Astyanax mexicanus: one gene and its partner. The protein of the gene in region 1 binds, or shares a complex with, the protein of each later gene. Links are inferred from orthologs where the notes say so. Each region holds a gene or a part of one and is shown on either strand. Other genes may lie near its edges.

Region 1 (16,476 bases):
TTGAAGGCTGCAAATGATGTGAAAGAATATTTGCTATCTGAGTAAATCGATGTTGACATTTCCCACCAAGATCACTGATGCACTTATCAATATTATATTTCAAATGTAAATTTGTACTGTAATTAGTTTTAATTTACCGCACTTTTGCTAACTAGTTATGTCATTCTCCAGCCACCCAGCTGTTCAAACTGGCTCACAAGTACAGACCCGAGACCAAGCAGGAGAAGAAGCGCAGGCTGCTGGCTCGTGCTGAACAGAAGGCTGCTGGAAAAGGAGATGCACCAACCAAGAGACCCCCTGTTCTTCGTGCAGGTAAGGCATTCAATACATTTTGTTTCTGTGGCGTCCACTATAAACGATACTATACACTAAGGTCAGCCTTGCTGATGAATAGCAAAGAAAAAAACAAACCACGATGCAGTGTAACTAGCTGGAGCATTTAGAATATACTTCTATTCCAAATTAAGAATGCAGTTTACATGCCAGTAAGATGTGAATTTGGTGTCTGAAAGTAATGCTATCTAAGTTGGTAGGCCAAGTGAGCAATTAACTATAGCTGGTAACCTGGCTAACTGGTCACGATGTGCCAGGGCACTGCTTGTCTTATAGTCAACATAATTGATATTTTCCATGTAAAGCGTAGCTTAAGAAGGTTTCTTAGGGAAAGCCTTCTCACATGTTTACTGTGGATGTTCTTGCAATGATGTGTTGAATTTCTTCACCTGAAATTTTGTGTGGATCAAAATTCGAGCTTTTTAAACCTGAGCAAGAGCTATGTTTCCACAGTAACACTGATCAGAACTAAGGATGCACTGATCAAATGACCAAAAAGCATTCAGCTATATAAATAGGGATGGGTAGATGGCACTCTTTCTCCACATCACTCCTAGTGTGGTGGTTAAAGCAGCGGTCTTTTAGCTAATGTGTCGGAGCTGCATTGTGACACTTTCCTTACCATGCTGGCTACCCAGTGATTGTCCTGGAAATTGATGTGTGTTCACCTAATATTTACTTATTTTGTCTTTTTAATGTATGTTTCTAAATTATGCATCTACTGATTTTGATTGTTTTTTTTCTGCCAGGTGTGAACTCTGTGACCTCACTGGTCGAGAGCAAGAAGGCCCAGCTGGTTGTGATCGCACACGATGTGGACCCAATTGAGGTGAGTGTGCCATTTTTTTTTTTTGTTGAAAGGTCCAGGAACATTTTATTGTTAATCTAGGTTGTCTGTTTAGCTGTTAATCATGTGGTTGTCTGCTATGATGCTTTTGAATTTCTTCACCTGAAATATATGAAGACACAACATTTTAACCCTGAGCAACAGCCACAATATTATTGCATGATTTGAAGCAGATTAGATTTTACATGTTGGAGGTAAAAGGTGGCGAATTGCTTTGGGTTGGCATCTATCTAATTCTTTTATTTTATTTTTTCCTCCTTTTTTAGCTGGTGGTGTTCCTCCCTGCTCTTTGCCGCAAGATGGGTGTCCCTTACTGCATCATCAAGGGCAAGGCCAGGCTGGGAAGACTGGTGCACAGGAAGACATGCACCAGTGTCTGCTTCACACAGACCAACCCGTGAGTACTGTTGTTTTTTAATGAAGTCCATGTATAGAGTGAACAAACAGCCTCCTCTCTGCAATGATGTCTGAATTTCTTCACCTGAACAACCATGTGGTTTCAAATGAGCTTTTTAACCCTGAGCAAAGAGGTTTTCTTTTGGTTGTTGTGTTTGAACACCAAAGGATCTGAAATTAATGGTTTTCTTTACTTTCTAGTGAGGACAGAGCTGCTCTCGCCAAACTGGTGGAGGCCATCAAGACCAACTACAATGACAGATATGAGGAGGTCAGTTAACTCTTCAATATTGTACTTCTGAACTGTTCCATCTTTTTCAAAGATGGCACTATTGTCACTCTAAAATGGTATTTACTTTTGTGTGCTTTTAGTAATTTCTAATTCTAATGCTCTTTTCTTGTAGATCCGTCGCCACTGGGGAGGCAACATCATGGGTCCCAAGTCTACTGCTCGCTTTGCTAAGCTGGAGAAGACAAAGGCCAAGGAGCTGGCTGCCAAGCTGGGCTAAACTCCTACCACACGTCTGTTTATGTAAAAAAATAAATAATAAAAACCCTAAATTTTGTTTTATGCCTCTTTACTGGGTGGGATGAGATTTAACAGATTGTGAACTTTAATTGCATATTTGTTGGAACTATGTTAGAAGCTTCTGATTTTAATTTAAGAATCAAATCCCACATGATGGGCCATATTCTGTTAAACAGGAAGCTTTATTGGGTTAATTTATATTTATATTATATTATATTTTGCACATTAGTACAGTATAAAGCTATGCAGTAAATTGGTATAAGTGAACTACCATGTGATTTCTCTTTTGGGAGTTACTGATCAAGTAATGTACATTACATACATTTTCATAATTTGCTTTACTAATACTTTTTTTTTTTCTCTCAAGGTAGAAGTAATAAACCGCAAGCTCAAGATATACTAGTGACAATATGGCTATTGTCACTAGAATATCCCCTGGCCCCCTTTTAAGGCTACTGCTAAGACTTACAATGTAAAGTTCATAGAATACAGAAACTTTGCATATACGGATCATACACAGTGGGGAATGAGCAATATATGAAAGTCACAATAGAGATCTTTTACTTTACATTTCTAGATTTCACTAAAATGATGAATGCAGTTTTCCAGACCCTTAAATTGTCAGGACAAGATTTTAGACTGCTTGGAAAATGTCAACATTTATTGTAGAAAATGCAACCCAAAGAATGCACAGCAGAGCTGTTCTATTACAGCCATTTACTACAGGTCGCTGTTCAGCTATGCAAACAGTACCTAAAATACACTCCACATTTATGGTTGTGTTAATTTTAAATAAGCCTTTCTACATATTTGCATAAACTTGTAGTTACAAATCACTTGGCTGTTCATTACCAACTTCTCAATCAATTTGTGAGGGATACGTTTGCATATCTGTCATAAAACCTTTGGATGCAGTGCTCAGTTGCTTTCATATATGGATGCGTTTGATGAATTTTGTATACCACATGTATGAAGTAGCTGTACAAAGTCCATACCTAGAAAAGACAGGAGATTGAGAGCATCAGTGAAATATACATTCATACTGGTGTCAGAAAGGAACAAGTAATGATGACATATGGAATTAAATCACATAAAATGTCAGTGCTTTGACTCACCACGTAAGGATATACTGCATGTGTTCGTTTCGCAGGGTTACTCTTGTCTGGCCTCCTATTGGTCCTCCTGGTATTGTGCTCTCTGCATCACAAATTCACATTTATTTATTATCAGCACATATTTATAATTTATCAGCATTTCATAACAATAAAATAAAAAACTCACCTAGCACAACATCAAGAAATATTTCCTCAGCACCAGTGACCTTAGCCATAGCCTCCAAATCACGGTAGAACCATCGGTTTGCCTCCACATTGTTCTGAGGGACGAATGGTTTCCGTTGCTCCGTCAAGCGAACAACACCTACCAGTTCCACCTCTTCTGTCACCTTACAGACAAAGTTATTATACAAATTTAAAACCACTCCAGTATAAAAAGTGATGATGCACAAGGTAAAGCAAAATGCCATTTCTAAAATTGTTGTCATCAGTAAAAACAATGCACTAAAATGGTATAAAATATAATAGTACCAATGTTGATCTAATGATAATCAACTAAAGATTAGATTTTTAAATATTAGTGATGTGCAAATATCTGATATTTGCAAGAAAATCTTATAGTTTATTAAAAAAAAAACTAATAAAACCATATTGTAATATTTTGTCACATTTGGTTTGCCAGAAGGCATATTTCAGCCATTTTACTTAATATACTAAATAAAGATATCAACTGTAGAATGTGGTTGTGTCTTTTTAGTTTAAATCATGCATGTCTATAATTGTGACATAGATAAAAGCCTGATTACACAGTAATAGTTATAACCAATGCAGGTATAGTAATAACTGTATGCTGAGGTCAATGCTGATACTGATGCACACACATTTAAAGTATGGAGAAAAAAATAAATAAAAAAGATGACTTTGTATAAAAGCCCAGCTTTTCAGCAGCATAAGAAAAAGAAGCATTTACCTGACCCTTCATTCGGGTGTCGGGACTTATTTTCTTTTTGGGGACATAACCTCTGTTCACCAAGATCTTAATCCTGAGAGGGGAAAACAATGAGATTTACATTTTATATGATATACTATTGTGTCTGTCCTAAAGAGACTTCAAGACTTGACCCTTATTACTTAATCTCCATCTGTTGCAGCAGGATTAATGCTGTCATAGATGTATTTGCTTATTCCTAAAAGATGTAGTCACTTCTAATCAGTGATGGCAAAGTTACTTTGAAAAAGTAATCTGTTTACTCCTTTAAAAAGTAACTTAATTACATTTAAAATCAAGTAATCCATAAATTAACTAAGCTACTTACAAGTTAAGCACAGCCCTGCCGCCTCAACATATCAGTTTTGCCAAAACTCGTTTTGCTCCACCTTTGGGACTTTTTCTGTAAGTGTGCTGCTGCGACTTCAAATGTTTAATCAAATTTGACGTGTTTTTGAAGCTAGGTAGCACAGAGTGAACAACCAAGCTTGATATTGATTCATTTTAGCTGATATAAACTCAGAATAGTGTTTGTATTTCCAGCTACAAAACGTGCAACTCTCTCCTCACTTCAGTTAGCAGTGTTCTCAAGTCTCGCGCTTTGAGCGTGTGACACACGCACCTCAGCGAGTTCACACGCTCATACGCCACACATGGTATTTCTCACGCTTGCCAATCCATCCAGTATATTATAATGTACTCTTGTTGAGCCAATCAGAATATAGGTTGCTCTGTTGTTTTTGCTAGGCAGACCTAGTCAAAGAGGGTGGAGTTTCAGCCAGAGTGTGAAGAACTGTCTGATTCGAAAGTTCTGAAACACACGTCGGTGAACAACTGAAGTAGAACGGCGGCAACACCGCCCACTGCGCACACTGTGTTCAGCACTAGGGCTAGTTTTAGCCTGTTAGCTTGTTAGATCGCTAGCCTTTTGTTAGTTCCAGCAATGAACGTCGACTGCAAATCTTTCTCGTCCATCCTTTTAACACATTCAGCCAGATGCTACAATATCTTTTTACTAAGGAAAATGACAAAAACGTAGCGCACAGTGACTTGGGTACGTAACTTTAATCCTATTACCTGATAAGAAATAGCAAAGCGTTAGATTACTCGTTACTGAAACAAATGGTCAGATTACAGTAACAGGTTATTAACATCACTGCTTATAATAGACATCACTGGGTACTTGCACAATACTATGATTTCTCCTATAAGTACTGTCTGTGCTAAACTCGCTATATGCTAACATTTAGGTTGAAACTGCTGGCAAAGACTTTAAAATCTTGTGCATGTTGGTTTATTAGTGGGGTTACTTGTGTTACTTGTAAATGTATGTATTTAAGGCAAAAATGTCAATACAGGTTTATGCTGTATGTCTGTGTGTTTGTACACACCCAAGGTCTGTGCAGTTGAAAGGTGTGATGACGTTAGCTCCAGTCTCTCCACTGGAGGACAGCCTTCCTGCCTCGCGGGCCTCTCTCTCAGGGTCCACTGGAGAACGGGGCAGGATGTACAGCTCTTGAGAGTGATCAAACCTGCCACGCACCTTCACACGCCTGTACTCCAGATCCTTTAGCTCCATAGGACTGTCACATGATCACAAACAAACACAGGCTACATCAATACATTAATAATACAATCAAATATCCGTCATCACTGCCACTCTGGGACTATTCTAAAATAGGTAATCATTTTTTATGTGACTTTCTTTGTACCAAAAAATGTATGCACTATTACTAAGTGACTGACTCTCCAACTACATTGTCTACACCTATAGTATGGCATGGGCCAAAGAGGACACTCACTCCGTGGGCAGTGGAATCGGATCTGCTGTCGTTAATTTCTGGAGATCTTCAATCAACTTCAACTTCCACTGCCTGCGCTTCACCTACAAATATACATAAATACACATTCAAAAATGCAGTTTAAATATCTGAGCAACCACCATTTTAATCATGGTAAACAGCAGCTGAGCGTACCTGCCATGTTCCCAGGCCGAAGGTGGTCACAGGGATCAGCAGCAGCAGCCATTTCAGCAAGGAATCCTCACTCTTTTCTGCCTGTGCCGCATCCACACTGGTCTGTCTACTCACGTTAACAGGTTTAACTGTGAAACCCAACAGAAGATGAACAGACAGCTACTGCAGTGTTCATGAATATTACAGTTAATCTTTAGTATGTGTTGAAACACTGGTGATTCTTCTCTAGTAGTAAATGCATTTACTACAAAACAAAAAAGCATTAAACCAAGTATATGGATGCTGTAAAATACACTACTCATCCTGTCAATCAGAAGTATTGTCTCATTGCTTTTAAACATTAAGTGTAATTATAAGCTGTCCACCTTAATTTAGCAGACATGGCACACTTGTCAAAAGAAGCAGCAGAATCATAACAAAGAGTATAAATATTTTAGCACATAATATCAATATCAAATCAAGTGAAGTTTATTTGCATAGTAACTTTTTGCAACTGCTCACAAAGCAGTTTGTAGAGAAATCTACAAGTAATAGGACAAGAGATTAATAATTCATAAAACATAATATATAAAACAATATTCTTACCATTCTCACGTTTGAGCAAGACTTGCCTTGATTTATCGAAAATATTTCTCTTGGAAATGACAGTCTGAGTCTAGAAAAAGACAAAACAATCTGATTTACAAATACTGACAAAAGCAAATAATATACACTGACTAAAATGAGTGAAGAACAATTATTGCAAGCAATATTCTGATTCCAATATTAACTGGCCTTTGTCTTCAAATCCCACAGGCTAGTAAACAATACATTTTCTAAAATTAACTCTTATTCATTTTAAATTTTTGATTGCAATATAAACCTAAATAAAACAAATACAGTACCAGTCAAAAATGTGGACAAACCTCTTCTCATTTGATGTGTTTTCTTTCATTTTATAATTTTATTTACATTGTAAATTTAATATTGAAGACATTAAAGCTATACAGGAACACATGGAATTGTCTTGTAAACAAAAAGTGTTAAATAAACCAGGGTATGTTTTATACTTCTTCGATTCTAAGTAGACATATTCAGCTTGAGGACAGATCTGCGCACACAGTTTTCTCTGCATCTTGAAGGAGTTTCTGTTGGTTCTGAACAATAGTTGCTGCTTTTCCTTCAAACTGTAAAGCTCCAGCTCAGTTGGGTTTAGGTCAGGGGATTGTGAAGGACAAACACTTCTTTTGTTCACAACAGTGTAGAAAACATTGAATCAGAAGGTGTGTCCAAGCTTTTGACTGGTACTGTACTTTCAGTGCCTAAATGATTTACATTAATGATTTATTGAAATGATTTACAATAAGCAGCATAACTGTATTAAAGTATTTTCTGGTATTCTAAACTCAGCACCTGCACAAACTAACGAGACTGTCCAACAACTGCTGACTGCAGGATATTTCTGAACAGAATCTCAACACAAGCCAGAGCTAGTTTGTGCTTTTCCTGCGGTATAATTTTTCACATCCCTCTATCCCTCTGTTCTTACACCAGTGGTAACTAGCTTTATAATAATTATTATTATTATACGCTGCCTGGCCAAAAAAAAGTTGTCACTAAAAAAAGGACTCTGTGGTGAACAATCCATGTGTGAAAATGATGATCTCATGCTCCCTGAATCACTCTTTCACAATTCCAGCCCATGAATCCTGACATTTTCATCTTGGAATATGCTCGTGTCATCAGGAAAGAAAAAAAACATTGATGGAATAACCTGGTCTATATTCAGTATATTCAGGTAGTCAGCTGGCCTTATTCTTTCAGCACATACTGTTGCTGAACCTAGACCTGCAGACCAACTGCAGCAATTGAACCCCACATCATTTGCACATCTTTTTTTCAGCTTCATCCTATTCTGGTCTGCTTGGCCAGGCTTTTCCTTAAAGTAGTAGGAAATTAATTAATTACACTAGAATTGCAAATTTATTTGGAATGAATAAGTGATGGAACATATAGTATAGAAGATTAAATTGAATGACATGTTGTATATTTACAATGTTAGTAAACAGATATTCTGCTTTCCTTCATTAGTTAGTTATCTCCTTCAGTAATAGTGTATTAGACTTTTAAATAATATATGTGCATGTTCCCTTTAATTCAGTGAAGCGGTAGTAACGTTAGCAGCGAATAAGAAAAAAACTTCAGCCTCTCTGTCTTTAAACTGGAATAGTGTTTTATTATCAGTAAATAATGTTTATAAATGTGAAACAGAAACTTACATTAATCCGGATGATCCTGCGAGCGTGACTACAGAACATGAGCATGTATTTAAGGCCACTCATGTTCAGGAGAAATGTCTAAACTGAGAGTTATGCTGGATTATATCTATCTGTTTGGTGTCAGTAGTAAACAGGTCAAACCGCCTGCATAACATGTTCTCCACAGAGCGGCAGGCGAGGGGACGAGTTTCACTGTAACACCATCCGGAGACAGGCGTGTGCGGTTGCGCATGCGCGGTGTGAAACACATGGGCAGGAGGAGCTGTTGAGTTAGAGCAGTTGTTGTTGCAGAAACGCTGTTTTTAATGTTCAGATCGAGCGCAGATTAAGAATTCCGACCGTTTGAGTGAAAGAAGAAGGAGAAGTAGAAGAGGAAATGTGTGGCAAATCCTTTCTAATTATTCCCTCAGTGAGAAACTAGTTTAATAGCTGCCAGTAACTGCTGTGGGATATTGTGGGATAGTTAACCTAGCTGAGCTTGGCTTTGTGGAAGGTAAGTTGATCTTAGTAACTTAAATAAACATTAATCCAACGCTCTGCTCTTACTTTGTAGGGTCTCTGTGTTTAAGAAATATTATACAGTCATCTGTTTTCAACGTGTAATGTTAACCTAGCTAAGTGTGATCACACGTGGCTGATTGCATGATTGTGTTGTGTATTTTGTCCAGTTGCTGCAAAGATGTCCTCAAGCCTTGCAGCCAAGTACGACTACCTGGAGAAGCTGACTCGAAAAGTGTGCCATTCCCAGACCGAACAGACCAGACAGAGACCCTATGGTACGCTTCTATTCTTGTTTTGCAGTATGTGGTATGTGGTCATATATATACTCTAAAAATTCACAGCTCTGCATATTTGTGTGTTGTGCCTGCTTTAAATCACTAGTAGGAAGCAGGGAAACACACTGCCATAGAAAAATCACCTTTTTGTTTCCTAAAGAACTATGGGCTTTATGGGCAGTCATACACTGGCTACACTGGCTGTCATAAGTGGTTAGTGCAGTGCAGTGCATAATACCACTAACTTCCAGTAAGCTACCTACCACATTGTCTGGGAGACTGGGGTTCAATTCCCAGTCTGGGTGACTAAATGCTGTTCTACACCAATAAGAGTCTGGAACAAGACTCCTAACTTCTGCATTGGCCCACCTCTGTAATAGGAATAACCTTGTAAGTCGCTCTGGATAAAAGCATCAGCTAAATGCCGCAAATGTACATTTTAGAGCTTGATCATGCAGATTCATGATCTGTTTTTAATTAGTTTATATAATTAGTAAGTTCATAAACCTAAATATTTTGGACTTCCCATCTTTTTTTCCACATATCTCATTCACCAGCCATTCTTAAGAAGAAATGTCTTAAAAATGACTTATCCAGCTTCTATCAAAATACTTATAATTATCTCTAATAGCAATATTAAGCTGTTGTTAAATTTATCATTACTGTTATGCAAACCATGCACCTTCAAAATCTTAACATTCAATGGAAGTAAATATAAAAAAAACATTACTAATTATTTTGAAGAATGTTGTTGGTCTATTAAATAGGACATTGTAACACAATGTAATTTGCTTGATTGACTGTGATATACATACGTTAGTGTTTTAGAACTTTGATCTCTCAAGGTAACAACAAACATTTACATGTAGTTCCAACAGTGACTAGAAAACAAGGTTAGACTGGTTGTGGTAAGAAGGCAGTTGTCAATTTTTCTCCTCTATAATGTTTTTCCATCTCAACTGTCCTGCTATATTGTAAGAAGACAGGGTTATACATTAAGAAATAAAATGTTTGGCATTCTTGTCTGGAAGAGATCTGTCTAAAGTCGTAGCTGAAGTCAAAAATACCTTATTCTGTTAAAACATTTTTGTAACAAACTGGGTAGCCATTGAAAAAAATGGTCTGACTCTAACTTTGCTCTCTCTAACTGCTTTCTAATGCACCCTGGTTGCAAAGACAGGCAATTTTGGCTTTATTTCTGTAGAACAGAAGGGAAGAATGCACAGCATTCAGGTTGTCTGCAGTTGTTGTTTCTTGAGTATATTTAACGAAAAAAAATTAGAACAGTTAAGTGAATTAAGAGTCAAGCTTTATTTTCCAGCTGTTATTAATTATTCATTATTAATTTATTATTCATTCCTCTGTTATTTATTTTCAGTTCCATTTCGTGCTCGTAGTGGTGGTGACGAAGATGGTGACAGTGGGCCACCTAAGAAGAAACAAAAGAAGAAACAGAAGCAGATCAAAGGAAATAATGTAAACACAAATGATAAAAAGCCAGCCCCAAAGACCATCCAAAAAGCAGCACAGAAACAGCCCATCACAGAACAGAAAGCTCCTCAGGCCAGAGTTCAGAATGGGAATCAAGCCCAGAAGAAGACACATGGTAAGTCAAAAGTGTGAATTTGAATTGATCCAGAATTATTTCTGAAGCATAACAGAATTCCAGTATCTTTATTAACACATTTTCTTTAATTCCTCAAGGCACAAAATCAGAAGGCGAGTTTAATGCAGTGGATATTTTAAGGAAAAGACTTCATCAGAAGATTGAGGAGTCTCGTGGGCAGGTACCAAAATAAACACACAAACCCCCTAATGAATTTGTAGGACATGATGATGTTTTGCTTAAACTCACTTTGTTAGTTTTTTCAAACAGATTAGAATTTACCTTATTAAAGAGGATTTAATATGCAGAATTAGGAAATGTTTTATTAATGATTGTAAGCACAAGCTGTGCGTTTACACATTTTTTTATGTCATCAGCCCAAATATGAGCAGATCATGAGTGTGAACAGCTTTCAATTATCTTTAGTAAAGTAAAGTTTACTTTTTGCTCAATCAAAACAGACTACAACACAGCTGTCAAGTAGGCAGGGTTTAAGCACAACACTAAATGAACCAATGTCTGCCTCCATTCTTTACATTAATTAATGATGAAGAAATTCTGTTGTTTTGAGCATTTATACTGTATAGAAATGCAAAATACTGGGATTTCTTACACCCCTAATTTTCCAGTACTCTGGTATAAATAACTTGTATCTTTTGCTTATTGTAAGCCTCTTAAGTCTCTTATTTTCTCACTTTAGGGTCCACCCAAGGACCCTTCCTCAGAAGAGGTGCAGAAAAGACGAGCGAAACGGAAACAGGAGAGAGAGCGCAAAAAGCGGAAAAGGAAAGAGTTCCGTATGAAAGCGTTGGCGCAGAGTTCTACCACTGAGATAAAAGAGGAAAGCGAACCGGTGGAGATAACCACACCTCAGTCTGAACCTGCTGAATCCAAATCTGACAAGAAGGACACAAGCACCTTGGTCTTCAACAAGGTGGAGGTTGAGGATGATTATGTGGATAAAGGGACCAAGATGAGGGAGAAGAAGAAGAAAAGGAAAGTGAAAGGAACCCTCACTCCCCTCATAGGGAAGAACTACAAACAGCTGTTAACCCGAGTAGAGGCCAGGAAGGCCCGTCTGGAGGAGCTGCGGGAGAAGGATGAAGGGAAAGCAAAGAAGGAAGAAGAGAAGATGAAGTGGACCAACGTTCTCTACAAGGCTGAGGGGATGAAGATCAAAGATGATGAACAGCTTCTACGGGCTTCGCTGAAGAGGAAAGAGAAGATGAAGACCCAGAGGAAGAAAAAGTGGGTGGAGAGGAGCGAGAATGTGCTGGAGAAGATGCAGCAGAGACAGGACAAGAGACGCAGGAACATTCAGAAACGCAAAGACAATAAAATGGAGAAGCGGCAACAGAGAGCCAGGAAGAAGGGCAGAGTGCTGCCTCAGGATCTGAAAAAGGCTGCTCTGTAGAGATTGATATAATGGAGAAATTGGACACGTATGGACAGAGATTGAATAAATTCAGGAGCGTACTTAGAAAAGGATAAAACTATAAAGAGCATGAATCAGAACGGTGATGGTGACTTGAACAGAACAGTACAAATGGTTCCAAACAGTTCAGGAATCTTAACTTCTAATGATTGATTTATACTTCTGTCTTCTGCAAGTTAGCACAGAGTCTACTGTGTAGTTGTGAGCGTTTATACATGTGCATAGGTCTGTCTGCAACACTCTACAATGTTCAGCTGAGCAATTACAATTGCTGTATTCTGCTGTTTCTTGGGAGGTGCATGTCCAACTACAACATAGGCTATTTGTAGGATATACAAAAGGTGTGTAGTGTTGAAAATAAATTGGTCTATACTTTTACTAAGGTGTGCTATGTCTCTGTACAATTAAATGCAGTAAAGTAAATAATGGAAAACCCGTTTGCCCTATTTATTGCACAGCTGCTGTTTATTTGCTTAATTTAGAGCACAATGGTAAATGTATAATGAAGTGCTGAATGTACAAAGTTTACAGTACATTTCATGTTGTATGTAATTCTTGTTCACTCTATCTAAAATCAACAGGACATTTTAGTAAACTTAATATTATATACATTACAGTGTCGGCTCAAATTAAACCATTTAAAATGTTTAAATGGCTATTAGCCTGATTAAAATGTTATTCTCATAGGTGGGAATAGACACTTTTGTATAAGATATTTCATGGACTCTTTTAAAGAAAGAATTGCTGTTGTGTATTCTGAAAGTATTTGTATTTTTTAATGTACTATACAATACATTGTTTTTATAATACTAATTATATTGCAAGTTTATCATTTTTTTAATCTTGAATATGAATCTAAAAATGACTTCTTCCACAGACAGTGATATCTTTTTGTTTTGTAAGGATAAGTAAAACATTTACGGGTGCATCTAAAAAACATTTTTACTTTATTTTAGTAATTCAGTTCTAAATGTGAAACATATTATATAGTTGTATTACACACAAAGTGATCTATTTTAAGCATTTATTTCTTTTATTGTTAATCATGGCTTACAGAAAATTAAAATATTATGTAAGACCAATTGGTACTTTTGGCAGTGTGCCAAATCCTGCTGGAAAATGAAATCCGCATCTCCATAGAAGTTGTCAGCAGAGGAAATCATAAAGTGCTGTAAGATTTTCTGGGAAAACACTGCACTGACTTTAGACTTGATATAACACAGTGGGCCAACCCTAGCAGATGACCTCTCCAAACCATCACTGATTGGTGGAAACTTCACACTAGACCTCAAGCAGCTTAGACTGTGTGTCTCTCCATTCTTCCTCCAGCCTCTGGGCTCTTGATTTACAAATTAATGCTAATTAATTATGCTAAATTTACTGATGATCAGTGATGGTTTGGAGCGACATGTCATCTGCTGGTGTTGGTTCACTGTGTTTTATTATCAAGTCTAAAGTCAGTACAGTGTTTTCCCAGAAAATCTTACAGCACTTCATGCTTCCCACTGCTGACAACTTTTATGGAGATATGTATTTTATTTTCCAGCAGGACTTGGCACACTGCCAAAAGTTCCATTTGGTCTTATATAATATTCTAATTTTCAGGGCCCAGTTTCCCAAAAGTATTTTGGCATTAAGAACATCTTAACATAGTGCTTAGGGTGAAGTTTAAGAATCATCTTAGTGCTAGGAACTTTTTTTGAAAACCCCAGTTTATTTAAGTAACTGAGGAAAGAATCTGATGCCTCCTTTGTCTTCCAGAATAAAGCTCAGTAAGCATTATTTTATTCTTTCTGTTTAGAGATGTGAAGAAACGCTGAATGCAGCAGTGTTTAATCATTTTATACAAACAAATGTGCTAATGTGTCTCAACACAGGACTGTCAGTACCAAAGACATCATTTATAAACCTGACCAACCAGTAAGCTCAGTAACTAGTAATGCTAGCTTAAAATCCCTTTACTGAAGAAAAGTAGAAATATATAGATATGATTACTTTGCCTTTTTTTTTTTTTTTTTTTTACAAAATACATTATTCTATTGTCCAACAATTAATTAATAATTGGCTGTTGGATATTATATTTTATTTGAGGTTTTAGTCCTTTAGCCTCCTTCACCCCCATTCATTTTGGACTTACTCGCGGGCTCCCTCCAGCGGTTTTAGTCGTTATAGATATTAGGGCAAGGGTTAAGTAGTGGACGGGCTCTCCATAAACCAGCTCTGGCTCTACCGCATAGATACGTTTACTCCGCCTCTACAGGCAGATCTGCGTCCAAATCCAAATACTGCGATGGCAAAGAACCTTTAGAGAGGAGATTACCCACTTAAGAACCTTTCAGAGGGCGTTCCTGAGTAAGCTCAAAATGAATGTGTTCATATGGAGCAATTGAACAAAATTAGTTTATACTTGTTTAGTAATTTATTAATAGAACATGTATTCACTGTTTGAACACAGAACAAGGTCCAGTGTTTTAACACTGTAGTATTTGTTTTTAAAGCTTTTAAATTCTTTTTATAAGCCTTTTAAGCATGCTTAAGTAGTAAAATGCTGTATCTGCATCTACTTGAGTATTATTTTTACTCTATTACTGTACTTAAGTACTAAAATGCTGTATCTATATCTACTGGATTATTATTTTTACTTCACTACTGTACTTAAGTACTAAAATGCTGTATCTGTATCTACTGGAGCATTATTTTTACTTCACTACTGTACTGAAGTACTAAAATGTTGTATTTTATCTACTGGAGTATAATTTTTTCTCCTACTTCCATTTTTAGTTCACTACATATTTACCATAAGTTTAAGAATTTTACTCTGATATATTTTTATGTGCTGCATTGTTACTTGTTATAATTATAAAAATGATAGGAATTATTCCAAATCCACATTATTACTAAAGCCAGAGTGGTATATGTTCGGCACTGTCACTGGGTTTGATAAAGCTCCTTATCATTGAGTAAATCAAGAGATCAAGCTGTTCTTATAAGAAGACCTTGCTGCTCTCATTCTGCCTTTATCACGGCTAACTTTCCACTGCTTTCTGTAATAACTACACTAATATCACAGTACTGTACTTTTACTGTCAGTACTTAAGTATTACATTTTACAATAACCAATTTGCTATACGTAGATAGAAAAATTACCCAATCTTACAAACCTTTTCACTGTTTGTTTGACCACCAGAAGGCGCTCCAGAGAGAGTCAAAAATGAATGGATTCATATTGAGCAACTAACGAAAATCATAGTTTATAAATGTTTAATATTTTCATTATAGAAAATGTATTTACTTTTTTAACACAGAACAATAGCAAATGCTATAGCGCCGCATTATTCTTGTTTAAACCTCCAGTTATAAGCCTTTTAAACATGATCTAGCTGTTACCCTACACGTTTTTAGCGAAATACTTCAATATACTTTCTAAAAGTAATGTCATATTATTATATATTAAGTTACTGTTTTTAATTTGGGATTTTAGCCGTTTAGCTCCGTTTGCACCCATTCATTTAGGACTCACTTTCGGGCTCCCTCTAGCGGTAAGCAGTCATTTCTGATATAAAGTGGACAGGCTCTCTATAACCGGTGTTCTGTCGAGTTATGCTTCCCGTCGATACGTGCTTTCTAAAGGCACTGCGCATGCGCTGACCTACACTTTTTAATTATTTCTCATAGTTTTTGAAAATATTTTTAACAATAAATCTGTTACAACCTGGACTCACTGTCATTGCATAAAAAGTGTAAATGGAAATTAATAATAATAAAAACAATAATTAATATTAAATAAAATACAGAAGCAGTTTGTGAAGACCTCTCATTGCCATAACGTTACAGTTACGTTGCCATTACAGATACAGTTCAAATATGCTAACCTACATCTACTGGGAACTCTACTGGGAGCATGCTGTAAAATTGTGCTTGGTTTGTATTTTTACAGTTAAATGAACACAATAGTATTTAATAGTATTTAATAAATAAAATAAGTAAAAATACAAAATAGCACCATATTTTGCACCATATTAGAAAATACTCCCAGCAGAAGCCTAGGTATGATATGTGGATAGGCTAAATCTCAGTAAAAGTAAAGTAAAGTAAAGTAAAAAGATATGGCTATATATGTGACTATATTCCTTATTTTTTATAGTTTACTATTTTTAAACTTTACATTGGTATTTGTAGCTGCTATGTACAGTTTTTTTATATTCGAGCAGGATAATTAATGCTTCCAATAAAAACTTAAGGAATTATCATGAAAAACATGGAAAAACATTACCTAA
Region 2 (16,089 bases), on another chromosome or scaffold:
ACTATGCTTTTTTCTCAAGCAAATAGAAATAGTGTCAACGAGCCTATAAAATAGCAGAATTCATTATGGAGTTACAGATACTTTAATAGGACCAGTTAGTCATGTAATGAGGAAAAAGAAGAAAAAGATGCATTAAAATGAATTCATAATTATTTTATAATCACATCACAGACCTCCGAATCACAGATATTCCAACCCCTAACAATATTCATTTGAGAAACTGGAATCGACATTTTTTTTATAATTCTATCAAAACAGAACAAATTATTTTTGTTTAGTATTTGATCAATATTTAATTATGTTTTCTTTGTTAATTAATGTACCTGGTCAGAAATCTTTATATACTTACACTCAAAAAACAACAAACTTTGTATCTCCGAATTGGCACTTTACAGCAGAAGGAGAACTTTGAATAGTTGGAGAAAAATGGAGATAAAAGGTTGAAATCTAGTCAAATATCTTAGCCCTGAGTGAGAGTGTAAGGGTGTGATAAGAATAAGAACCATGCAACCATTTTTTTTTTAGGAAACAATTTAATACATCAGTGTTTATTATTCACATCATGCACATCCACATTCAAACTCCTTCATCACCAAAAATCAGACCAAGTTAAATAGAAACTATGTATTTGGGGGTTTGGTGGGTGGTGGGAACAGAAGACCATGACCATGTAAGGGAGATGTTTGCCGACTTTTGTGAGGTCTTTGAAAGCGCTCAGCTCAGTTCTTTAGAGTAATAATCACTGCAGTTCATCCATCACTAGTCGACAGCACTCGCCTACTTTAGCCGGGTCAGACACGCCGGCGTACTTTGTGATCTGAGAGTTGACGCCCAGCGAGCGTGCCAGGTCTTTGGCTGTGCTGTCTCCAGCCACTGTAGTCCCGAGTGCAACCAGCAGCCTGAAGACAGCCTCCTTGTCCTGCACCACCTCTAGAGCACTACTAGCAACAGACAAGCACTGGGCTTTGGCTTCGATCTCGGACGGTCGGCCGTGCAGTATACCCGCGTAGTTGAGCACCAGCGTGGCGAGAGCTACGTGGATGTTTTTGTTGCAGACAGAACGGAGGTCGGCTGCCCGGGACAGCACGGCTTCACGTTGGCTCAGGAGGAGAGAGCGACCGTGGGATCCAGAGAAGCAGTTGCAGAAGGTGCGGAGGGCCAGCATTTGGTTAGCTGGTCGGCCCTGAGGTGACATGAGGCCCAGCAGGAGGTTGCATAGACTGGCTCCCTCTGTACCTCCACAAAGCTGAGCGTTGACCTCAGGGTGCCGCACTGCTAGGCGGAGGATGTCCAGCACAGGGAAAACAATATCTGTGGACAGTTACAACATAAAATTTAGTAATTAAATATCACACAGTCCACGCACACTATTGCTTTGTGTCTGAGCTCTACCTTCAGGCCAGTGGCTGGTCCTCCAGAGTATGCTGATCTGATCTGCTGTGGGCTGATCTGGGCTCTTACAGTCTGAAATGGAGAGCAGTAGCTTTTCCAGGTTGCTCAGCACCGTGTCGTTTAGTCTGTGGTCCTCTGGAGCACTGCCATTCAGCTCACGCAGCTTAGCTAATGTGAATGCACACAAGGTATTAAGAACACGGGACAAACTTCAGACAATGCAGAAATGTAACATTTAAGACTGTACAAATATTGCTACACTTTATTAAATTTGTTTAAGGAGTAGTTTCCCCAGACAGAGCTTAAGTTTAGGCTTGGACTAAGCAGCATTTTAAACTAAAAGGAAAAAAATAGGAAAAATTATGGTCAATGACTAGACTTAACCCCTGCTTGTGAAACTGACCTTATGTACAAAAGCTTGTTACGTTATAATTACTCATATATTATATATATTTATTTATTAATTATTTATTCATTAGCTTTGGGGTTTTTGTTTTATTTTTAGTAGTTTTTTTCAATCAATACCAAATCACCAATACATGTGGAAGGAGTTGCAGATGAAGTGGAGTGGACATCATATAACACCCTGGCCTTACAAAAGATCTTGTTGCTGAATGCAATCAAGTTCTCACAGCAAGGCTCCAGAATCTATAGTATCTATAGGAAGCCTTTTTTAGACTTTAATAATATTATCCTTGATTTTAGAAGGAACAATAAATGAGCAGTGCAAATTATAATTATTTAAAAAATAAATTATGCATTTAATTCATGCTAATTGAGTAGGGGTCACTAGACTTACCGAAAATCTGTGTAGGATTGGCCTGCTCAAAAAAAACGCCATCCATCTTGGGGAAGTAAATATTTGTGACAGACTTCTGGAGAGCAGCAGAAGAGTAGGCGTTTCTACCTAACGGAGATACACACAGGAAACATATCAATTTGTGTTTTATGTAAATGAGTAGGTGAGTAACTTTATCTCAGTGTGTACATTGTGGTATGTGGTTATACCTGTAAAGGGATCAGCTACACCTGCAGGTGTTGTTCCTGTGGATCCTGATCCAGGTATGTATCGCCCAGCACCTACCAAAGTTTTTAGCACATTTAATCACAATACACTGTTTTAATTTGGATGATGGAGTATGATCACTGTGTATCCTTACCAGTAAAGGGGTCAGCACCAAAGCCTGGTCTTTCATCTGCTGCCCCAGGGATATACCTTCCTGAACCTGGAAAGGATATAGAAGAAGTTAAAAGTGAAGTTCAACTACAAACATCTACAGAAACCATCAAAATCCTTCCAGTCTAAGACAAGATTATTGACCTTATTTACACCTGATACAACAGATGTGAGATAGACTAACTGGAGATGCATTTGGATGCCAAGCATGATCATTTTTAGCATGTTACTAAAATCTTATCAAGATACAATGCAGATACCAGTCTCAATAAGTGACCATATGTAAATGGGGTCAATACCACTAGGCTACTTGCCTGTAAAAGGATCTACAGCAGAGGCAGGAGCTGGCCCTAGGGTGTGGCCTTTGGTGTTCTCAATGATGAAATTAGCCACTTGGTCCAGAAACATGGGGTTCAGATCATTCTTTTGTAGGAAGTTGTGTGCTGCCAGCCAGGGGTCATCAGCCACATTATATGGCAGTTTCATTGAGGGCCCACCCTCATTCACATCGATGGTAAAAACAAAATCGTATTCCTGAAGAGTAACAGTGAAAGGTATTAATGTGCATGTTTAAAGCATTTTATGCAGTTTAGTCTGTTTTTATTGTAAAACACAATTTGAACACTAAACACCCAACTGGTGTTAAAAATGGTGTTGGGGAAAAACTGTCTTTTTCTGCGTTACATTTTTTTCATGTTTACCCAAGATTGGAGTAAAATTAATTATATTGGGTAGATCTACTCCGTGGTGTTTTCTTTTGAATCAAGCAGCAAAAAAAAAGCTGTTACACTGAATTAACTTGTATTACATGACATTACACATCCTGCGATATCACTAGTGTGTGTATCCACTTTGCATAGATGTTGTTGAAAAGATATATTGATATATTGTGCACTCCTTGTATGCGCTACTTTAAATAGGCTTCAGCATGGTTTCTTACCTTGCCCTCATACATTACTCTTTTAGAGCTGTCCTTGGATGACCCTCCCACCACGTCTCCAATCTTCATCCAGCGTCCCTCACTCATGCTCCACTGGTACGCCTCCACGTTATTACCTTCCTTTATGAGTCGTGTTTGACCATCTCTATTGCCTATGCGCAAAAACACAAACACAACATATAAGTCAACTGCTCAAGAGATTCACAGAATAATGTAATGTATAGGCAGGTTTTCAAATGTCAACACTCTACTGAGCTTCAATACCTAATAATTTTGGAAAATCAAACCCTTAACAGGCCAGAATTTTTGTCAATTTTCTGCATAACAATACACCCCTAAATCCTGAACGTTTGATAAGGAACATTACTGAAAATTATAATTGTAATTGTAATAGAATGTATAATATTTAAGTAAATCTGCAACTGTCAAAATATAATGAATAAAATCCTAAAATTTGCTCTTTCCTGAAATCAATACTTTCCTGTAGGAGATTTCAAAATCCTCAAATTTTCAGAATGTAAATAAGTTTTTTTTTTTTTTTTTTTTTTTTTTTACTGCAGAGTTTTGTATCACCTACACCTGTAGCCCGGGTAAAGGCATGTTCATAGGTTGAGTTCTAAAGTCCATAGAATTTTTTCATTTATGCATGGTATTTGCAGAAGGCACAAAATCTGCTGATTGCAAGTCTAACACAACATGTGGGAAGCTTTCAAATGTTTAAATGTTTTTCTTAAACACCAGGACAGGGTTTAAAAGATTCCAGTCTTTTTTTACCTGGTTCATCTAAGTGTTCTCTTCCAGGTAGTTCCTCAGGCTTGATATCTCCCAAATCTCCAGTCTTGGGATCAATAGTAGCTTTAGAAAGTTCATCTTCGAAAGCCTGCAGGTCTTGAGCACTCGCTACACGCTCATCTTTCTCAGTGAACACACGGATGATGCCATCACTGTGAACAGTTCGCAAATCAATGTAATTAATAAGTGTCTACACTAGTTTTCAATAATAATCAACTGTCTGAAATGTTTGAGTACAGCTGATTTTGTAAGTGAAAACACAATGTAGATCATTTGTGTACCTGGCTCCTACAGCGATGTCTCCATTAGGTAAAACACAGCAACACCAGACTGACTGGGTAGGTAGACGGATTGTCTGAGCACATTCACCATTTTTCCAGATCCTTACTGTGCGGTCCTCTCCTGTGCTTACGAAGTCTGAGAGAGAGAGAGAGAGAGAGAGAGAGAGAGAGAAGAAGCTTTGTCATGAATTCATATTTTAATACAATTATTTACTAATCATTCAAATTAACTGACAGTTAGAGATGTCCCTGATCCAATCATGTGATCGGAAATCAGGATCGATAACATAATTTCAAAGGGTCGGAATTGAGTGAAAAAGTTCCGGATGACTGATGTATCAGATTTCTGAGTGGGTGTACCCTTCAGGCGGAGTGATTAGGACGCTGGTAGGCTAGGAAAGCGGGTATGTGATGTGTATCACCTGTTTTCGAGTATGCTAGCATGAACACTAAGCCAGCAAACTTATCGATCCATCAACTATTTTTTATCCACGTTTCATTCTCCTCTTATTTTTCCTAGTACAATATAAGACTTTCACAAACACATTTTTGTAATAAAATGGTATTTTTGGATACAGTTTCAATAACAATTGCAAATACAATTTATTAAATAGACCTTAACGGACCACTTGGATGTGTTTTTTTGTTTTGTTTTGTTTTTTTACTGCATTTCTAAAGTATTGGATCGTGACTCGGCAGATACTCTAAATGTTATTAGGGATTAGGAAAGTCATTTGACTTTTTATTATTTTTCTAATAACAAGTGCCACTGTCCATTTGTAAATGTAAATATAAGACTATAAAACTATATTATTTTCGCCATTGTTCACATTACTCTCTTTAGAAAAAAACTCTATTAAACAAAAAACTACTATAAGTACTAAAATCCTCACCTTGTCCATTTGGAAAGACAGACAGACTGTAGATATAGTTAGTGTGACTGTAGTATACTTGAACACATTCTCCTGTCACCATCCATCGCCTGATGCTGGCGTCATTACTACAGGACAGGAATTCAACATCGCTCACTACAGCTAGTCCTCGAACACAGTCCTCATGACCTGCAACAATAAAAAATAAATAAAACACACACAATCAACTCAACACTGACCTCTTGTGGTTCGTGTAAAAAACGAAACTGAATCTGATCATTTAAAAAGAAAAGCACACAGTCTAGCTCAGAAGAAATGAAAATGTAAATGTCTATGAGGCTCACCTGAATATGTTCTCTCACAGCGTCCAGCTTTCCAGAGTTTAACAGTCTTGTCAGCCGATCCTGTGAGCATAAGTCCCTGCTCTGGCAGAATCACCACAGCCCATACTGCTGCTGTATGCCCCTACATACAGAAACAAAAGCAGACACACCCATACATTACACACACGCATATTAAAATAGCTCAGGACAAAGAATTCCCAAGCAAACAGAATTCAAAAACAAATAATTCTTCAGTTCTTAAGGCAGAATTACCTGTAAAGTCATCATACACTTGTCACTGAGCCAGACTTTAGCTGTGGTGTCCCATGATCCACTCAATAACGTCCCAAACTTCCCAGCTGAGAGTGTGCACACTGTGGACAGCAGGATTAGAAACTTGGAATGAATAAGTGGCCATAAAGGTTTTGGTCACTCTATAAATATATTATTTTTAATCCATTATTTAAAAAAGAAAAATCAAATAATCACAGCCTTGACTCTTCTTGATGATAAGATGAGAAGGACTGTACTTATGTGTATTATAAAGCACTACACCTGTGTTTTTGTGTCCTGTCAGAGTAAACATAGGGTCCGGTCTGTCTAAGGAGAAGACGCAGATAATGTTGTCATTGCCTCCTGTTGCAATAAGGCCCCTGGGGTAGGTTTCATTGGGGGCGATGATGCAGACACAGGAAACGAAGTTCGTGTGGCCGTTCATACAGTGCATCTCCGTGTAACCTCTAGTTTCACTACAGAATAAGAAAATACAAAGCAACCAAGACACGTTTTCAATTATAGCTTGTGAACACCTGCAACATGCTCGCTGCTCAAAGTAAACACTCCACTAACAACAGCGAGAGACAGTATTAATAGATATAGAGTCAGTAAGCCGATGAGCATGCACATGCACATTCCAAATCTACTGTGACATTTCACAAATATGCCACGTACATAACTAACAGCAAAATCTAAAACTGAAACCTCAGACATCCCTTCTGTTTTAAGTGTCATTGTAGTTTTTTTTTTTAATAAAATAAATTGCTCAAGGCTTCTACAGACGTTTTAGGGTAGGTCTGTCACAATTAACTACTTTTGATTGGATGGTATATAGTCCCAAAAAGTACTGTGACAAATATAGCTGGACAATATACTGATATTTTTTTATATTATGATCAGTTTTTTAAACCATATTGAGGATATCATCAGTACAACATTTTATTACAGAGAGTATAAAAAATCCTGTTTAATTGGATGATGTGCAGCAAAATAAAATAAGAATCACTATACTCTGTGTTTCAAAATATTAATACTGTACATCATATATAAAAATATAATATTATTACCATATCACCCAGCTCTATCAGTGCATGATCATTTACCAAAATATAAGAACTTTTATATCAGAGCCCAGCCTCTTTATTAACAATATTATTTAATCAATTAATCTAAGCTAGGCCTGTCACGATAATTATATAATCGATTTATTGTATAGTAAATACCTGAACAATATTTGATTACTGTGATATTGTCTATTGTGTGGCTTGTATGTTTGTTCACATATAGGTCATAACAGTGAACAGTGTTTTAGCCAGTCATGCAATGAGCAATGTTTTAATAACTGTGACTCCCTACACTTAGTGTGGACTACAGTAGGTAAAGTATATAGTTATCAATCAATGATTAATTAGAAATTGGTTGTCTTTAAAATTGTAACATTATAATTTATTAGTTAAGCTATTCTGTTATCATTATGTCAGTGGCATTTAAATGTTCTAAAATTGAGAATAATACCGTTTATCGCAACAATTTCAGGAACGATATATCGTTCACAAAATAGTATCATAGTGGAAGGAGTAACGTAAGCTAGTTAAACCATGGTTACAGTGTTGAGAGCTGCCCGGCCGGCCGCTCTGGTTGCTATAAACACTGTTAGCGAGGCTAGCTGGGCTCTGTTGTTAGCTGTAGCCTGCCGGCTAAACCGGCTACCTTAAATTTGGAGCCCAGACTCTGGCGCTTCGGTCCCGCGACACGGAGACGAAACCTCCCTCAGGGAAAACCGCGGCGGCAAGGCCCCTAACATCCATCTCATGGCCCGGGATGGAGCAGCTGAGCCGGTAGGTGCTGGGAGAGGCCATGGTGTAAATTCAGAGCTCCGCTAAATCAGCACGATAAAAAACAAAACTCATTCAGCCCCGGAACTGAGAGAGCACGAGCGGCCCCGTCCAGCAGAGAGGGAGAGACACTACAAAATAAAAGACCCCGGCAGCAGAGACCGAGAGACACTCTACAAAAGAAAAGACCTCCGCAGCAGAGATGTAGAGACACTACAACATAAAAGTCCCCTGTACTAAAATATTTGATATTGTTCTGTGATGAGGAAATAAGTACAATTTTTAGTATAAAAAAGATTCAACGTTTATAAACTATCAATTTGCTCAGTAGCTCTATATGAACCAATTTCATTGTTGACTCTGGGAGCGCCCTCCGATGGTGTATTACAACCTATTCTTCTTTTTAGAAATAACATGTTAATTTAACAATACCATTGTTTTTACAAGATATTTTTAAATAATTATGTTTTTGTTTTTTTATTTATTTATTTTTTTTTTAGGTTTAAGTCCAATCAGAACGCATACTAAAATAAATAGCTGCTAATGCAGTTACTGGCAATGAATGGGTTAATTTCCGAGTGCTGAACTTGACCCGGATAGAGTTAGGTTAGCTAAGCTAGCTACCTGTCTGTTCTGTCTTTCTCAAGGTCCAGACATGTCGAGAAACCTGAGAATAACACTCATATTCGGGGGCTTCGTAACCGCAGTGACTGCAGCTTTTTACCCGATATTCTTCCACCCTCTTTCTCACAAAGAGGAGTACAGTGAGTTAATCAGCGTTTCTAGTTTGCTGTGAATAACTAGTTTGCCAGTGATGTTAAATAACGTTAGCTAACTGCTCTCACCCTTTAATAACCAACTGTCATATAACCGTATGTCAATATATTAAAAGGTTCTTAATTAGAAAGATAGATTCCCTACCGCTAATTATATAGAAACATGTATGACTATAACTAAGAACTCTTATTTTATCTAGTTAGCTACATTTTATTGTATTTTATTTTATGGCGTGGCCAGTAACAATGTAAGCTAAGTAAATATGTACATATAAATGTATTTTTGTTGGGAACTTTATTTAAACAATATCTATCAATCCACAGTACAATTCAAAAGTTTGGACACAGAAAATCGATTTTTGTTTTCAGTGAATCGATACAGAATCGTCCATGTCCGAATCGAGATGCATTTAAGAATTGAAAATTTCCCCAGCCCCCAATTTGTTTATTACTTGTATTATTTACTACATTGTAGATTAGTATTAAAGACTCAAAAACAATGTGGAACTCTATATGCAGTTAGGTAGAAGATAAAAAAGGGGTTCTGCCTTCACAAACACCTGACATAAAAAATCCATCCCAGGTGGTTTGGGAAGAGATGGAGCTAATAGTAACGGAAAAGCAGTTAATAAGAGCTTAGTACCTCTAGGAACTTATTTATTCCAGGTTCTACCTCATAAAACGCCTGAAAGAATAATGTGAAGACATTCTACTTTTAAGAATCTAAAGTATAAAACATATATGATATTTTGGGTTGTTTAACACTTTTTTGTTTACTTTCCTATGCGTTCCTTTATAGTATTGATTTCTTTATTAGTAATCTACAATTTAGATAATAATAAAAAATAATAATAAAAAAAAACATTAAATGAGAAGGGGGTGTGTCAAAACGTTTGAGTGGTACTGTATGTCAGGCTTGTTTATTAATCCTAACCCAGCATTGCAGTGATATGAACCTTTGCAAACCTTTGTGAGGTCGACCTCAACCACTCTGTCTAATGTTAAATCCTAAACTTCTACAGGGGAGATCCAGAAAATCAACCGAGCTGGAATCAATCAAGCAGATATTCAGCCTGCTGGTATGTCTGGTTCTTCTGCAGTAAACATTCAAGTACTGTATTATGTGTAGCTAAAGCTAAAAGCTTAGGAAACATACAGATGGAGAAACAGTATGTATGGCATGTGTCTTTTCATGCTTTGCGATTTCTCTATTTTAAGGAGTGAAGGTCTGGTCAGATCCATTCAAACCGAAGTCATGATGTGATGCAAGGCAGTAGCAGAAACAGATGGGAAAAGAGATTCATGAACATAAAGACATCATTGCAAATGTCTGGGACATTATGCACTTCTCACTTCAGTGTGACTGAATGAACCATTTAACATGCAAGCGAGTGAAAGAAGCTTATTCCCTGGAAGACTCCTAATTTTCCCTGTTTAGTTTTCTTGGCTGTAACACGTTAACACTCATTCAGTCTTTGATAGCTGGCCTGTGTATTACAGGAAAAATGGTACAATTCTGGAGTAAGGCCATCATCTGGAAAAAGTTACATTGGGGGAAAAAATCAGTAATATGTAATACCTGCCACAATATTGTGTCATTCATTGTCATATGTTGTAATGTATAGAATGATTTATTCCTGAATGAAATAAAATGTGATTTTTGGAACTATCTAGTATGTTTGTGTTTGTAATGAAGCATGCTGAGCTCTAGGGGGAGCACAAAGCCTTGTAGATCCAATAGGTCACGTTCAGTCAGAGTGACTTATTCATGAGATACAGTGTAGCATTATATGAATGGTTTCCATTGCAAATGATATGAAGATATGGGAAATTTAAAATGTTTTTCTATTTAATATTTTGTTTATTAATAATATTAATAACCCAACATTCCAACAGGCCATTTAACATTATTTGCAGCATATTTATTTATTATTTAGAGCATAGCTAAGTAGCTTTCAAACACAACACTGAAAGATGGGATAGGTGTGGTGACTAAGCTCCAGGGAAACAGATGTGATGGGTGCTGTGAGGATGTCAGAAGAGACACTAATCAAGAGCTAATCTACAAGCACAGAAGCACAGATGTGTTTAGAGGATTAACCTTACCAACTGAAGCTTAATAATTAAACGATTTCTCTGGGTTACGATGTTATGGTGTTGGCTTCTTCTTTTACGGACATTTTAAATGGAGGATTTTAATGTAAATTGTATATTGTAAATATACAATAATTGTGTAATGCCATTAATCTTCACATTTATATCTGTATGCTTATTAGAAACACACTCAATATGGCTCAGATACGTTTTTTTCAAGGCTGTGTAAATGTGCCAAATCCGTTTTTTTTTTTTTCTCAAATCAAATTTGAGTCATTTTCAAATGTGGTCCTAAATCGGATACGTATCCGATCCATGCACATGCGACATGAATGTGAACGGTCAAATCGGTATTAATGCCCCTTTTTGCTTTTACACTGCGCTACGTGCTTCTCTCTCGTACCCACACATCTCTTGGTTCAGCTGTGCAGCCATAGCTGCAAAAACAGCAAAAGCAAACCGCCTGGCCTTTTTTCTCCACCTTGAACTGAGCATGTACTTCAGACCAGCTGTTTACTCTCCACTCCAGCAAAAGTTGCTCCACATATGAGCTGCTAACGGATCCATTACACCTTTATTAAGCTACGGTTCGTCTCTCTAATATGCCGTTTTTTGTTGATGTGCACATGTGAAGCGTTTCAGGTATAGATTTATTCACATTACACACAGATACAGGTCACTTACATTTGTCAATGGGAACTGTCAAGAATCGGACAAAAAATCGTATTCGAGCAATGTCGCTTATAATGTAAACGTAGCCTTAGTTCATCCATGACATAACACATATTCAGAGCACTGGGCAGCCACCTCAGTTAAGTTCCTCAGCCATGATTTTTTTTCTTCCTTAGACCAATTTTGGTATATTCTTACTGTAAAATTTGAACTGCTTATTCTTTACCTCTTTAATTATCGCTGTTGTTGTAATGTTTGTCAGTAAATACTGCTTCACCAAAGGTTCTAACACAAAGAAAACACACATGGCAGCCTCTTTGTTGTCACACAGAATAAGATAGATGGTCTACATCAGAAATCTTAAAAACAACACCTCAAACCTGGTTAGTTGTGGATTAATCAGTAAAAAAAATCTTCTTTGCAAAGCATCGAAACATCTGGATTCTTCTCAGTTGTGTACATGACTTGAACTCCATGATGCTTTTGCACTCGTCTCAGTTTTCCTTCTGTTTCCTGCTGCTGCACCTTGATTAAATTTCTACTATTATTTTGGCAGCAGGTCCTGGAAGAGTCTTCTGGCAACAGAAAGTTGCGAAACAAAATCTGTAACCTGAGAGAAGCACACGAGGGCCGAAGTGCCGCTCCAGGGCCGAAGTCCCGTTGCTATGGAAACCAGTCTGCACCCACACCTGTGTGGCGGTGTAGCCGAGGGCCTGGCCCACTCGAGTACAAGTGCTGCCTGAGTGTGGGCATGTACAGTAACTGTACACACTGCTCGCCAGAAGTTTATAAGCACTAAGCTTTTCAGAAATATTGTTAGAAATAAGTGTGTTCTCCTAATCCAGATGTTTTCAATGTAAATGATCTTAATTTTAAAATGTTTTAACCTATTTCAGACCCACATTTATATCTAAGATGTTAGAAAAAGCTGTAGCCCAGCAACCTTGCTCTTACCTGCAAAATAATCCCATCTATGAAAAATTATTTAGGCCTCATCAAAGCACTGAGACAGTTTCCTGTTAAGATAATAAATGTTTGATTGCTTCTTGCCCCTGATCAAGACTTTGTCTCTCTACTGGTGTTGTTTGACCTGAGTAAATACTTTGATACAATAGACCACACCATCCCCCAAGATTAGAGAACATGGTGTGAGTCATTGGAACAGCTTTAACATCCTTTAAATCATATTTAACTGAAAAGGTTCATAATATTTAAAATTCCACAAGGCTCTATCTTAGGACCGTTACTGTTTATATTATATATGCGCCTACTGGGAAAAGTCATTAGAAAACATTCTTATAGCATACATTTTTATTGTCATGCAGGTGATATGCAGCTCTATATATCGGCTGTGAGTGTATTTTTCTAATGCAGATATGTTTTCAATCAAAGTTTATGTTAACATATTAAGGTTATGTGTGCATGTTATTGAATAATGTTGTCAGTAGCACTCAAACCCTTTAGCTGTTATATGATTTAACAAATATTTTTAGCAGACATTTGGAGCCAGTGACAGTAGAAAAATATAGACCGCACAGCATTTCTCAAAAATAAAGCTGCCACAGGTTTAGCATCTCTGCTGGCTAATTGCTGTGTAAGACTTATCTTAGCCCCACAGGTTTTATCATGACTTTTTTTTTTTTTTCATTTTTTAACATCACTGGTCTTTAGCTCCAACAGTTAACCCTGTGCTGTTTCGCTTAGTTCTGAGACATTCTTGTATTGAGTAGAAGAATCCTGGCTCTGCCTCTGGTCTTTACTGCATAGACAGTTATTGTAAATTCGACAAATGGTGGACAATTTTGGCTTCATTTTATTGCATGGAAGAAATGGTACCATGGGTTTCAGTCGTCATTGTTTAGAACAGGAAACTGGCATGTACTCAAAGTATTGGCAAAGTATTTTTATATAAAAATCTTTGCGGATTTGTTTTCACTTTTTCTCCTTACTAATTTAGCAGGAATTGTGAGAAAAACCTAAATAAAAACACGCAAACGTGTATGGAATACATGTATGAGTGTGAGAACTGAGCTGTGTTTTTTTAACAATCAGTAATACAAAAAGTGTTGACATCTGGATTTTATATAGTTATTTTACAAGGATCGTATCATACAAATTTACAAGAATTGTGTAATGTGTAATGCCATTTATCATCACATTTATATTCATATGCATACTAGAAACACACTTTCCAGCCAATGCACAACAAGCTGTACAACAGAACTTACATCTCCCCATTTAGCCCAGCCAGAAAACGTGTATCCAGAGCACTGAGCAGAGACCTCAGTTGGGCACCTCAGTTATGAATGTTGAAGGATGCAACAAAAATTCTGTTCTTCACTTCCTCTACTTCCAGCTCCTGACAGTCCAGTGCATCAAACTGGCAACCTTCTGTTCCCAAGTTTGAGTCTTTAACCTTTAGGCTATGGCCTAAACCAACCAGTGAAATACAGTTGTGCATAAAGGTTGTTCATAGCATACCAGAAACCCCTCACCTGTGTAGACCTGTGTAGTCTTCTAGTTGTCAAAGATGCTCAGATTCTTTACATACAGAAAAGGGTTACAGTGTGTAAACATTTACATGTTAAAGTTCTGACACATAGCTGCAGAATGTCCTGCACCTATAGCTGAACTATAAGTTTTCCTTATATTACTACTAGGGGTAACTGACTGTTGTAAGTGATGGCCTTGTAGCCAGTGTTGGGAAGGTTACTTTTAAAATGTAATCCCTTACAGATTACTGATTACATCACTCAAAATGTAATTTGTAACGTAATCAGTTACATTACTTCAAGTGAGTAACGTAATCTGATTACTTTGGATTACTTACAATATTGTCGTTTTTTTAAGCCTGAATGAATGTAGCAACCACATCTTGCATATTATTGTTTTATTTTTCCTTCCAGTTAATAGATAGACAAATAAAACAGCCTTTTCAATCACCCTATAAAAATACTTATGAAACCATTTCATCAAACAATTTTATGAAACACTTCTATAAATTGATGATAAAACCATTTAAAACCAAACAATGTAACAACAACTGTAAGCTATCTATTTGCAGGTTTGCCACTTTCTGCAAGTGGATTTTTTGCCAGGATTATCTAGGGGTGTAAATCACAAGATTCATTACGATACGATACAATACGATTATTTTAGTCAGCGATACGATAATGTACGATACCTCAAATTATGTCTTTATACGATACAGTTCGGTCCAATAGGATTTAATGCGATTACAATCTGTTCCTTTTCTAAGAACTCACAAATGCAAACAAAATATAATTTGAATGTTTTATTATTAAATGTCAAATGCAGTGTAATCATAAACAGTAAACAATAATTCACTTCAACACTTTAATTTCCATTATTTAAGTTCCATTTGAGAACATCAAATGCAGAAGAAAATGTAAAAAAAAAAAAGCGCCTGTTATATTTAGAGTTAACAATGTGTGTATGGATGTTGGTGATGAATAGTCAATCATTCTCTACATTTCCTGATTCAGTAGGGTCTTGACAAACAAATTACAAAATTTGTAATTTATATCACAATGCATTGAAGAGTTACACTGCATTATATTAGGTGTCCACCAGGCGTCTCCAAAGTGTTCAAAACCTCTCCAGTAAATCTGTCTCTATACAGCCAGAGTTTGTAATTTTTTTGTTTGTTTGTGATAAAATAAATGAATGTAAGTCTATTTCAGAGTAATATTAATACTTTTTGATGAAATGACAAACAAAATCACACGTATGCGCGCTGTGGGCGCACTTATGTTTAGCAGAGGGAATTTGATGACAGCGGTTAGGCATGCCCCTCCCCCAGCCATTAGGAGACCAATCAGGGCAAATTACGTACCAATGTTTTCGTCTAAGGGTGGAAAATTGGTTGAAATAGGTGTCAATCACTTTTGTGACGCTGGAGAAAGGCTATGACCTGATTTGATTGGATTGGATTGATCCAGCGCTCACGTTATTGGTTCAAAAGACGATCACTCAAGAAAAATAGTGGTTTGTGGACCGCTGAAAATAAACGCATGTTTGTGAGGAGAAGTGAGCAGGCGAATAAAGGACTTTATGGATATTTTATCTGCGGTTCAGTGCTGTATTGTGGATGCTGTGATAGTAAGTGAATTTTCTATAATGTAATATGATGTTATTTTATATACTAATAATATTTTATAAGGCTATTTTGTTGGGGAGGCGTGTTCCCCATGTAAACAATGTGAAAAAACAGGCTGTTTTCAGTTGGCGATTTCTGGCGACTGGTTTCATGTAGATGGTTGTAAATTTGCATGCAGGTAGTCAAATTAGTACTAAAGAATATGAGTCGGTTATTTGGTCGGTGTGTTTAGAATATTTGACGCTTATAAGCATTCAACTTTACATAGTCAGAACGGGCCCGCCGACGGGCTAGGGGGCGCTTCTGCAGTGAAAACATTCTGAGCAGGAGGTTGTGAATCACAGAATATTCTGATGTCGTGATTTATGTGAATGTGTTTGCGTTTTGTCAGTGTTGGATTGGAAGACCAAAAATAGAAAAGTACCGCAATGTAATCCATTTATTTTAGCAGAGTAACTGTAATCTGATTACCATTTACTGAAGCAGTAACTGTAACGGATTACAGTTACTCATAATTTGTAATCTGATTATGTAACGCC

The links.
Region 2: surfeit locus protein 1 (region 1) and smim20 share a complex: the UniProt entries of both Homo sapiens proteins name them as parts of the MITRAC (mitochondrial translation regulation assembly intermediate of cytochrome c oxidase complex) complex. The link is inferred for Astyanax mexicanus from reciprocal best matches to the Homo sapiens genes SURF1 and SMIM20.

Annotation. Positions count from the first base shown.
Region 1 is NC_064408.1:16,892,645-16,909,120, forward strand, and holds surfeit locus protein 1, read right to left. Parts: upstream 8,573-16,476; 5' UTR 8,446-8,572; coding exon 8,383-8,445; intron 6,780-8,382; coding exon 6,710-6,779; intron 6,253-6,709; coding exon 6,125-6,252; intron 6,034-6,124; coding exon 5,951-6,033; intron 5,732-5,950; coding exon 5,540-5,731; intron 4,204-5,539; coding exon 4,131-4,203; intron 3,550-4,130; coding exon 3,387-3,549; intron 3,303-3,386; coding exon 3,221-3,302; intron 3,101-3,220; coding exon 3,034-3,100; 3' UTR 2,749-3,033; downstream 1-2,748. Other genes in the region: rpl7a (60S ribosomal protein L7a), read left to right, coding at 172-312, 1,083-1,162, 1,447-1,577, 1,778-1,847, 1,981-2,085; surf6 (surfeit locus protein 6), read left to right, coding at 9,062-9,158, 10,537-10,764, 10,863-10,945, 11,465-12,178. UniProt on the Homo sapiens protein: Component of the MITRAC (mitochondrial translation regulation assembly intermediate of cytochrome c oxidase complex) complex, that regulates cytochrome c oxidase assembly.
Region 2 is NC_064415.1:23,367,962-23,384,050, reverse strand, and holds smim20 (small integral membrane protein 20), read left to right. Parts: upstream 1-8,481; 5' UTR 8,482-8,543; coding exon 8,544-8,652; intron 8,653-9,686; coding exon 9,687-9,743; intron 9,744-9,882; coding exon 9,883-9,923; 3' UTR 9,924-10,330; downstream 10,331-16,089. Other genes in the region: plaa (phospholipase A-2-activating protein), read right to left, coding at 740-1,311, 1,393-1,560, 2,192-2,299, 2,401-2,472, 2,553-2,618, 2,884-3,103, 3,510-3,661, 4,284-4,453 and 6 more.